Linked DNA regions of Drosophila melanogaster. The protein of the gene in region 2 interacts with the protein of the main gene of each other region in a pairwise test. Each region holds a gene or a part of one and is shown on either strand. Other genes may lie near its edges.

Region 1 (5,298 bases), on a different chromosome or scaffold from region 2:
TTTGTCTGTGATTCCGCATATGGGAGATACTTAATGCTGTAGCTTCTTCTGCATAAAATCAAATTCTTTATGTTAATTGAATTTATAAAGTAAATTCAATTAATTCATACAAAATGTCCATTCTATGGAGTCCGGATATTTTACTACACACACACACGTTCGCTAGCCATTCCAATTGAAATACCCAGCATAGTGGGAGAAACATGTCTAATGAGACTTATCATAGGCGCCGCATTGATAACAAGTTTTCTACACCAACACATACGCACACTGTCGCAGGCGGGGGCACACGCACGGCATACACACTCACACGCGCACGCACACAGGCACAGTACTTTTTCTCTTTCGCATAACTGGCATATTTTGTGTGCCTAGGTGTGTCGCTGTCGCATTTTGCAATCACATATACCCGAAACAGGGTTAAACGAGCAGCAGGTGCGAGCTTACGCCGCTTTTAAATGCGTTCCAATGAGTTTTTCACCTGAAATTTCGGTTTAGTGGGACGGCGTTCGTGTGAAAAAAAAGAGGCTGCGAGAAAATCGCCTCGTACTCCTCGTTACGCCGGAACACGTACCCCGATCGATCGCACGGCGGCTGGGCAGCAGCAGCAACAACAACTCTGGCCGCTTTTTGCCCTTCGCATAGGTGTCCCGGCTGCTTTTAATTAAATAAACCGAATTCCAAATGGATTTTTTAACGATGAGAAACTGGTCAGTGTTACCAGATGGCAAAACGGCTAAAATCCGTAAACCAACCCTGGTTCTTCACTACAAAATGTACTACATTTCATGAATTTTTTCAGTGGTTCTATTTCGTCCAAAAAATATAGAAGTAAAATGTGTTGTTTTAAAGTTTTTGTGGCAGTCTATTTATGTTCAAAGCTAAATTATATGCAAATATTATTGCCGATCAGGAGTTGCCATTTGACCTATCGTCAAGTATTAGAAAAATGTGTACTAAAACTAATGCTGCCACACCGCACAAAGAAAACCATATCTAACAAATATTCAAACTACATGTAGGCGCACAACTAGACAGTCAAAAAAACTTATCACTTTTATCTGAAATTATTTTGTAACTTCCGTCATTTAAATGCAATGCTTCAACAGCTACACATGTTTTTGAAAAAATTACATTGTTATGGTGCCTTACAGACAAACATATTTAGTATTTATTTATCTTAATTAATTTGCAATTCGCTTTACAGCGATTAAATTATTCGATAAGAATCATTGCTCTTATACGAGCTCATGTGTTATCGATGCTTGGAAGCTAATAAATAAATCATCGATGGTGTTGAGCCAGTAAAAACATCGATAGCACCATACAAACATCGATTTTGGTTCCAGCTCTAGACATTTGTGTTTTATTTTTTTTAACCGTGAAATTCATAAGTAAAACCGACTAGCATTGGTATAAACTGCTGCGGAAGCACTCAGTCAGCGCCAAAGAACGAATACAATGGGGTAAGACCGATGGGCGCGGCCAAACCGGCCTAAACCTGCCGTTTTTACTGTGGGAAAAATCGACGCCGAACTAGCTGACATCTCCCCCCTATGATGTTGTTGTTGTTGCTGCCGTTCTGTGTGTAGCGGGCGGCGTAAATACATACATATATATGTACACAAACATACACCTACACACGCACACGCGTGGGCAGGCCAATTACATGTGTGTGGGTGTGCAGGTGTGTGTGACTGTGCAGGTGTGTGCGTGCGTGTTTTCCGCCCGAGAATCAAAAATCACAAGCAAGGCTGCGGAAAAGGCTTAGCACATAATGCAATTTAGTCGGCGGTCGACAGTCGCCAGCGATAACGGGAAGACACAAGTTATAGAGCTCAGCGAACGATGTCGGCGGATAGGTAATAGATAAGATATATATATGTATATGTGTACAAATAAAGGCACTGGAGGCTACCACGGATACGGAATTGATTTGATGGGGGCCCTGCGCCCCGCAACAAACTGTCATTGCATCAGGCCAGATCGCAAAAAACAAACATATATCGACCTACTTTATCAAATAAGGACCACGAGGATTATCCTGGGACTTAAGGACTACTAATTATAAATGCATTACACAGTGCCTGTTGACTAATAAACCACAGTAAAAGAATGCTTTGCCATAGTTTACTCACACGAGCACAGAAGCACAATTTATTGCCTGCTCTAAATGGAATTTTTAATTAATCACACGCTTGTCGCTTTAATCCCTTTATGACCCTTAGCGAACAACCGATTTTCACCTGCCAGGCGCACGTCTTCCACATCGATCCGAAGACGAAGCGCACCTGGATCACGGCCAGCATGAAGGCGGTCAACGTTAGCTTCTTCTACGACAGCTCGCGAAATCTGTACCGCATCATCAGTGTCGAGGGCACCAAGGCGGTGATAAACTCGACGATCACACCCAACATGACCTTCACCCAGACCTCCCAGAAGTTCGGCCAGTGGAGCGATGTGCGGGCAAACACGGTGTACGGCTTGGGATTTGCCTCAGAGGCGGAATTGACCAAGGTGAGTGGTTAGCATATGTCTCACATATTTATATACTAATCATATCGCTCAACAGTTCGTAGAGAAGTTCCAGGAGGTCAAGGAGGCCACCAAGAATGCCATGAAATCGGCCAACGGATCGAATGCCGTCACGCCCACCACCTCGGCGAACACGTCGCCCATTTCCGGGAGAGCTGTGGGCTCCATGCAGAACGACAACACAGCCATCGATCCGCACACTGTGGAGCCGCCCAACATGAGCAACACGAATACCCAGAACGCCAATCCGGACAGTCCTTCCCACAAGCTTCTAAATACCAGCGATGTCAAGGCGGACATCGGATCGGCCACGCCCTCGCCGCAGCCCACTTCAGGGGTAACTGGTGGCGGTGGAGTGACCATCTCGTCTGGCGGAAGCATTGTGGGCATGCACACGGGTCCTGGAGCCGGCGCCACCGCCGAGCAGCAGCTTAAGTACGAGAACGAGCGTCTGAAAATGGCACTGGCACAAAGGTAAGCAAAGCGTTGACCGTCATTGGCTCAAGGCAATAATGCCTTCTTTTCAGCTGCGCCAATGCCAAGAAATGGGAAATCGAGCTGGCTACCTTGAAGAACAACAATATACGGCTGACTAGTGCTCTTCAGGTAAGCAATAAGATAAGCTCACATTTATTGAAACTGATCGTTTTTGGCCTTTTTCTCCCAAAGGAATCAACTGCCAATGTAGACGAATGGAAGCGCCAGCTGCACACTTACAAGGAGGAGAATATTCGCCTCAAACGAGATATGGAGCAGCTGTGCGTGGGCGGCGGGGTTGTGGCTGCAGCCGGAGGAGGCGCCACAGAGGACGAACTGCGTCGTGAGGTGGCCACGCTCAAGGCGCGGACAGAACAACTACAGAAGGAACTTATGCAACAGGAACTTGAGCTTAAGTCGGCCAATATTAGCCTACGTGAAAAGTCCAATGACCAAACGGTGGGTAAAGCATAATAATCATGTTGAGTAATTTGCTAATGAAACTTTGTTTTTAGCTTGCAAAGTTGAGTGAGGTGAATGGTGTGTTTGCCAAGCATCTTTCGGAGTTGTATGGGGTGCAGAAGGATATGGAGAGTCTTATACAAATTGCCAAGTGCACTTGAGACACAGAGTTGGCGTTTATGCGAAAGGTTTGCGGCACATTGCCTTTTGAGTTTCGTCTTGTTGATTGGCGTTCTTTACAGGTTTCAGTGCAGGAACAGACTACAATGATTAATACTACAACGACATCATCGACAACAACAGGAAGCACGACAAGTAAACGTTATTTAAGCAACTTTCCAACCGCAGAGGCCGAGAGCACGCTCTCCAACGTCACCTCGATACACACTCAGCTGCAGTCGTCGCTTTACGAGACTCAGAACATGCCGCAGCTGAAGGCCTTGGACAAGCATTCGGCTTTGCTCCAAGAGCTTCATCAGCGGCAGGCGGCACCCAGGCGCAACTCAGCCTCTGCGGAAGCTGCTGCAGCCGGCTCTGGTGGAGCCAAAACAGCCACCATACTCGTTTCCAAATCAAAAACCAAAACTGGGCTGCCCCTGTTGCTGAAGAATTCCATTAACAATTAGAGAAATCCCAAAAAGAAAAACAAATATCGCAGGTAGAGAGAATTTATTCAGTGGCATTTTTGTAATCTTTATATTGGTAGTTTGTATACAAGGACAACGTTAAGAGTCAGCCATGGTACTTCCCCAATCCCCACGCACCCCCTCTTTTTGTTAACATTATTGGATATTTGTGTTTCCTTATCTCAAATTGAATGTATACCTATGCCCAGTATTTCGTCAAAATTCTTCGAGTCCTTGTGACACTGATGTAGGTCCAGATTGATTGATTCTCGTGCGCAGTAAAGTGCAATATACATTTATCTCTAGTATGTAAATGTAAACGATGATATTATGTGCTCTATACACTTTCAGCTGATTGTTAATTAATTTTTAATAAGAGCTTGCGATCGAATATAACCCGAAACTCATTTCCCAAAGAGAAAACCCAAGCATTTCTATTGAACAAAAGTCACAAAGATTATTTTATAAATGTGTCGAACTTTTTATAGTATTTTTAGATGGAACCTTTTGTATTCTCTAAATCATAGGCGTAAAATTTAAAAACTTATTTATTGAATTGTATTTCGACTCCATTCTATGTCAAATCCGCATCATCACAATGCTCCCGTTTATTGCAGTTATGCACTGATTTACTAACATTATACATGATATTTATAAATATATAAATTAACGTATGCATAACTAACAATGACTTAGACGACGAACACACTAAGAAACCAATATTAAATATAAAACTAAAGTAAACGAAGTGAACATTTTATAAATGGATTGAAGTAATCCAAGTAATTCACGAGACTAGCAAAGTAAATGAATAAAAGTCAAGTATGTGCGTCTGCGGACAACTAGTATAATACATAAAAAAATTATTAAAATTAATTTATATTTATCGAACCGAATTAAAAACGCAACTCGAATGAAGACAGCAATAAATACATAACAGTACACAATCTCCGAAACACGATTACCCGCTAAACGAATCGGTTATGAAGCGGTAATTTCGAACGTTTGCGATTATATTCAAGCCATATTGTTATGCACTTGCTGCATAAATAACCCAGTTGAGAAGAAATAAGAATTAACGAAAATGAAATGTTGAACATACAAATTTAGCAGTTAAAAATAAATAACAAATGAAAATATAAATAAATAAATAAATATATAAAGTAAAGAACAATTTAAAATCGGTTTTCTTTTAATT
Region 2 (4,908 bases):
GGGGGGCGTGTCGTGCATACTGCATGTTGCACCAGAAGCACACGTTGCATCGGAATAGATGGCTCATAAATCCCAACTGACTGGAAACATCTAATAACTATGTCAGCATGTGGCTCTCAAACTGTAAAGCTGGCACGCACCTAAAAATGAAAATGGAAAACTGGGCGGGTTTTAACAAATTGTGGATCCATAAAGAACTCATTGAATTTGACAGGATTTCCTAAATCAATTCTTTATTTTATTTTAATTTCGTGTAAAATCACCCGTATAAAAATGCAAGAAAATTGGTAAAAAAGTGGAATTTATCGCGTAATGCAAGAGCACGTTGATATTACAGGAAAAACTCGGTAGCATCAGTGAAATTGCATTTTTCGACTGCCTAATTTTCCATGCGAAACCTCCTGCTTCTCTTCATAATAGGAGAACTGGCACTAAAACTGACCTCTGGGGTCGTCATCATTTTTGGCTCACGTTTATGATTGAAAATGTTCGTTTTTCGCAAAGCGGAGGAGTTTTGCATAAATCAAGTCAATTGGGTATATCGAGGAAAGCCAAATGAGTGATGGTTTTGAGTTTAAAACGGGGTGAAATTACATAAACTTCATATGTGAGATTATTTCTGGAAAGGATTTCAAATATTACAAAAAAATTTGGGTAAAGTCGAGATATTATCTTATTTGTAGACTTAGACAAATGTAATACGAAACAATGTGTTTAGGTTCGAAAACAACGAATTGATGTAATGATTTATGTAAAAAAACTGTACATTTAGGTACAATTTAGGAATTTATCTTATGATTTATGTAAAAAAATTGTACATTTAGGTACAAGTTTATTTGATGTATCTTAAAATGGTCATAACTTGCATTTTTTAAGTAGCCAATTAGCAAGTTTCAAATCGTTGTGGACCAATAAAAGTGGGCAAAAAAACACTTGGACTTTCAGGTTTTTTGCAATAAAAACAAAACCACAACTTAAGGCGCCTTTGGAAATAAGCCTTGGATAACAAAAACAGCAAACGAGGAAATTGGGAACAATGGACCGGCAAAGAAAAGCTGTCGCTCCCCGAAGCAACAACAACAACAGCAACAGAGGCTATGGATTAGCCACACGTGGCCCCCCACACTACCTCCCAACCACCCACTTTGGGTCAGGAAAATGAAAAACGATTCGAGCGCCAGAAGAGCCAAAAGAAATCGGCGAAAAAACCTTAAGAAATGCTGGAAAAATACCCAAGTGACCCAGAACTTGTGCAAGAAAATAGTCAAGGTGCTCGAGGGGAAATTGAAGGGGGAGGAGTTCTGCGGAGGCGTTTGATTTTCCTACGCTTTTGATGTTTTCCAACTAATGACGAAAGCAGCCAGCAAAAAACTCGAATGTTCGCCGAAAATGTTAGCCTGCTGTTAAGAGAAGCAAATAGCCCCAACATCCGGCGCAATAAATTTCGAAGAGCGGTTAACGGTCGACTTCGAACTACATGTTAGCATTTCGTGTTGGAGTCTGCGCTATGTTCTGATTAGAATGTCTAATTTGGAATGTCAATGAACATTTTAATTAAATGTTAAAGTTTTAAATATCGTGTTTTATTTCAGTACTGATGCAGCTATTGATATCAAGAGGCATAGCGCAGAATAAAAAACTAAAGTAAAATAATAAACATTGATTGCATTTGCAATTTTTAAATTCGTAGAACATTTTTCTAGCCAGGGCGCAATCCGTCATACAGAACTCCAATCAGAACTAAGTGCTGCCTCAAACCTCACGGCACAACCGGTTAACAGAAGCCGCTCTTTTATCGAATTCGAACTCGCTCTCTCCAACTAGAGCTGTAAGCCCAACGTTATCGGCCTGTAATCGAACATTTGCCATCTCTAGTGCGCTCTCCAACGATTTTTGTTATTGCTTTTTCAACCGCGATTCGTGCAGCATGTGTGTTCGCGTGATCTGTTAAAAAAATAATGCTTAAAGCACATCGGTAACCGTTAAAGTCGCCGGGGAAAAAACCAATATTGATACTAACGAATTTTCGAATAATTTTCACAAAACGATTTTGTGCGCGATTTTTTCGTCCAGGCTCAAGAGGAGTGCGAGCGAGAAGGAGCGAGACAGTCGACGGTGGCTGCGTGCAAAATAACGGTGCACCGAATTCGACCAAATAAAAATTGAAAATAATCGCCGTGATTATTAGAATTTTAAACTGCCAACTGCAGCTAACGAATCAACCGATACGAGAAACCGATCGATGTGAAGTGCAAAAACAAGTAGAAAAATACAAATAATAAAAACAAAAACCGGTTCGCCTCTGCAGCAGCAGAAATCAAAGCCAAAAACGAAAAGAAACAAAAATCAAAGACAGCGAAAGAATTTTTGTTGTTTGGCCGGTGCGTATGTGTTTGTGTGTGTGCGTGCGCGTCTGTGTGTGGGAGTCTGCCAGTGTGTGTGAGCCTCTCGGCAAAGGAGAAAAACGCACAAGTCGGTAGGAAAAAGGCGTACGTAAGGAAAACGAAAAAGAGAGGAAAAAACGCAGTAGGAATTTCTTGTTTCCCCAAAACCGAAAAAAAAAAATCCACGTAAACCCGTTTCCCTGCAAACACACAAAATATAAAAGGTGAAAAAGTACAAAAAAGAGTAATATCTGTGAAATAAACGGAGGCCGCAAAAAGTGGCACAAGTGAAAATTCCTGCGCCGTTCGTTTTATTATTATTTTTCTGTTGCCGTCTTTTTGACAATCGCCAAAAGTGAAAATCAATTTGCGAGAGCGCGCGCGCAAGGAGCGAAAAGGAAGAGAGAGAGAGAGAGTGTGAGAAGGAGAGCGAGGAAGAGCAATCCCGATATAGAACTCGTCCTTTTTCGGCCCCAAAATTACCCAACCCAAAAAAAAGAGAAAGAAAACTGAACGAAAAACTCCCGGAGAAAACAACAACACACAACGATAAACTGCAAAAGTAAACAAATTGCGCCGAAACTAAACGAATTTCGGAAAACTGCAGCCAACGGAAAAAAGGTCAGTACACAGCGATTGATTGGCCGGAAAATTAACTAAATTAAAGTAAAAACCCTCGAGTGCCAAAGTGGTGTTGAGCAGCAAACACCTTTTAATAGTCCCCCATTTGACCTTCACCCATGGACACCCTCGCAAATTGGTAGCACCAAAGTCGGGCTAGCAGTTAACCCTTACCCTTGATCACCGTTAATTGGACCCCCCTCCTCAGACTATCATGGTCATGGTCAGCAGGTTGTGAAAACGGTCATTTATTGAGGTGCGTTACCCTTGCATTATATAAGGCACGAAACTCTTCAATGAAAATCTAATTTCAAAAGGATTTTAACCACTGTAAGAAAAAAAGTTAAAAATGTATTAAAATATCGTATAGAAATGTAAAGGTATTTGTGCTTTAGATAAATGTAACAATAAAAAGGTGACATCACTATCTGTAACTATTATATTGAATTATTGCATTTGTCACTGCAACTGATGATTTCAAGAAAATCGTTAAGACCTACGACAGTTATTATGAAGCAGCTTTTCTGCAACTTAAATGACTGTTACTTCTGTTCTATGGCAGTTACCGCCTTCTTCGAGTTGCACACACTCATTCGAAATAAATTCGGACTGGCAGCACGTTTACCATTTGGCTGACTCTTTCTTTAATCGCACCTTTTTATGGGCCCACCGTTATATTGACCTTCACTCGAGGGGTTCTGCTCTTGAAGAGGCATTCATAAATTTCGTTTTCTGTGCGAGTGATTTGGAAATTGCACGCTTCCCTTTTTTTTTGTTTTGGAGGGGCTGGCTGCTTCCCCCTTTTTGTCCCACCAATTGCAGTTATCTTGGTTGTTTTTGTTCAACTTTACTCATTTGTTCATAACGTGACTGGTTCTTGTTGTGGCCTATTGCTTTTTGGTTGTATTTGTTGCTGCTGCAGCTATTGTTGTTGTTGTTACACAAGCGTAACAATAAAATTTCAGACTGGCCCGCCATGAAAATAGTTAAAATTTTATATGTGCTGTTATGATCATGTTTTATCTGATAGTTGTTCGCTTGTGGCACGTAACACGGTTTGTTTTAAACTTTTTCGTTGATTTGCAGGCGGCATGAAAGGGGCAAAGATATATGTACATATATGTTTATATATATGTTTATATGTACCTACATATATCACGTAGATCAGCGAGGGGAGAACTATCTGAGATCCAAGAGTTGGGTCAGCGGCTGCTTTTTGTCTCGGTTACTTAATGTGGATGCGGCTTAATTGTTCCAAAAGATCAGATATCTTGTGCTGCGCCTACAGTTGTGTTGAGATATAATCGTTACCCAGAAAATAAACATAAATATAAAGGTTTTCAGAAGAGCTTTAAAAATCATATACAAATCAGAAGAATATACAGTGCATTTAATATAATTTATTTGTAGAGCATTCCCATATAATTTTTTCTTGGAAAACGTATAAATTTACATTGAAATATTTATACTACTAGTTAATGCCAAAATAATATAAATATTAATGCTCCAAAATTTGCTCATGCTCATTTATCAGTCAGAATAATTTCAAAATGTAAATATTCTGAATGTTTTAGTGTCACGTTGAATTTAAGACGTGATCTCATGCTTCCCTACTCGAACCGAATACTTGCAGCTCTCACTGTTAACTGTTTGCGTGATCTTACTTAATTTCCTTACTTTGTGTTATATTCATTAAAAGATTTGACAATTTGCAGTGATAAATCAAAAGAAATCTGAACTCCTCGTGGCCTGCAAAGAGTGACATTTTTGCTCAACATTTTGACCAACATTTCGCCCAATTTGCATAAATTTCAAGCATTTGATTCATACGAAACGCTCCAAGTCGAGAAATTCGACTTTTATGGGCAAACTCCAAAAGGCCCAGGCAATTTCTGATTTATTT

Evidence for each region. The genes of interacting proteins can lie anywhere in the genome.
Region 1: the proteins of Prosap (region 2) and homer interact in a two-hybrid assay, tested with the Drosophila melanogaster proteins (one study listed by BioGRID).

Annotation. Positions count from the first base shown.
Region 1 is NT_033779.5:6,719,361-6,724,658, reverse strand, and holds homer (homer), read left to right. Parts: upstream 1-1,728; 5' UTR 1,729-1,848; coding exon 1,849-1,862; intron 1,863-2,219; coding exon of another isoform or gene 2,220-2,228; coding exon 2,229-2,517; intron 2,518-2,572; coding exon 2,573-3,009; intron 3,010-3,062; coding exon 3,063-3,141; intron 3,142-3,204; coding exon 3,205-3,471; intron 3,472-3,527; coding exon 3,528-3,635; coding exon of another isoform or gene 3,636-3,662; intron 3,663-3,716; coding exon of another isoform or gene 3,717-4,100; 3' UTR 4,101-4,763; downstream 4,764-5,298.
Region 2 is NT_033778.4:14,137,886-14,142,793, reverse strand, and holds the start of Prosap (prosap), read left to right. Parts: upstream 1-1,891; 5' UTR 1,892-3,005; intron 3,006-4,908.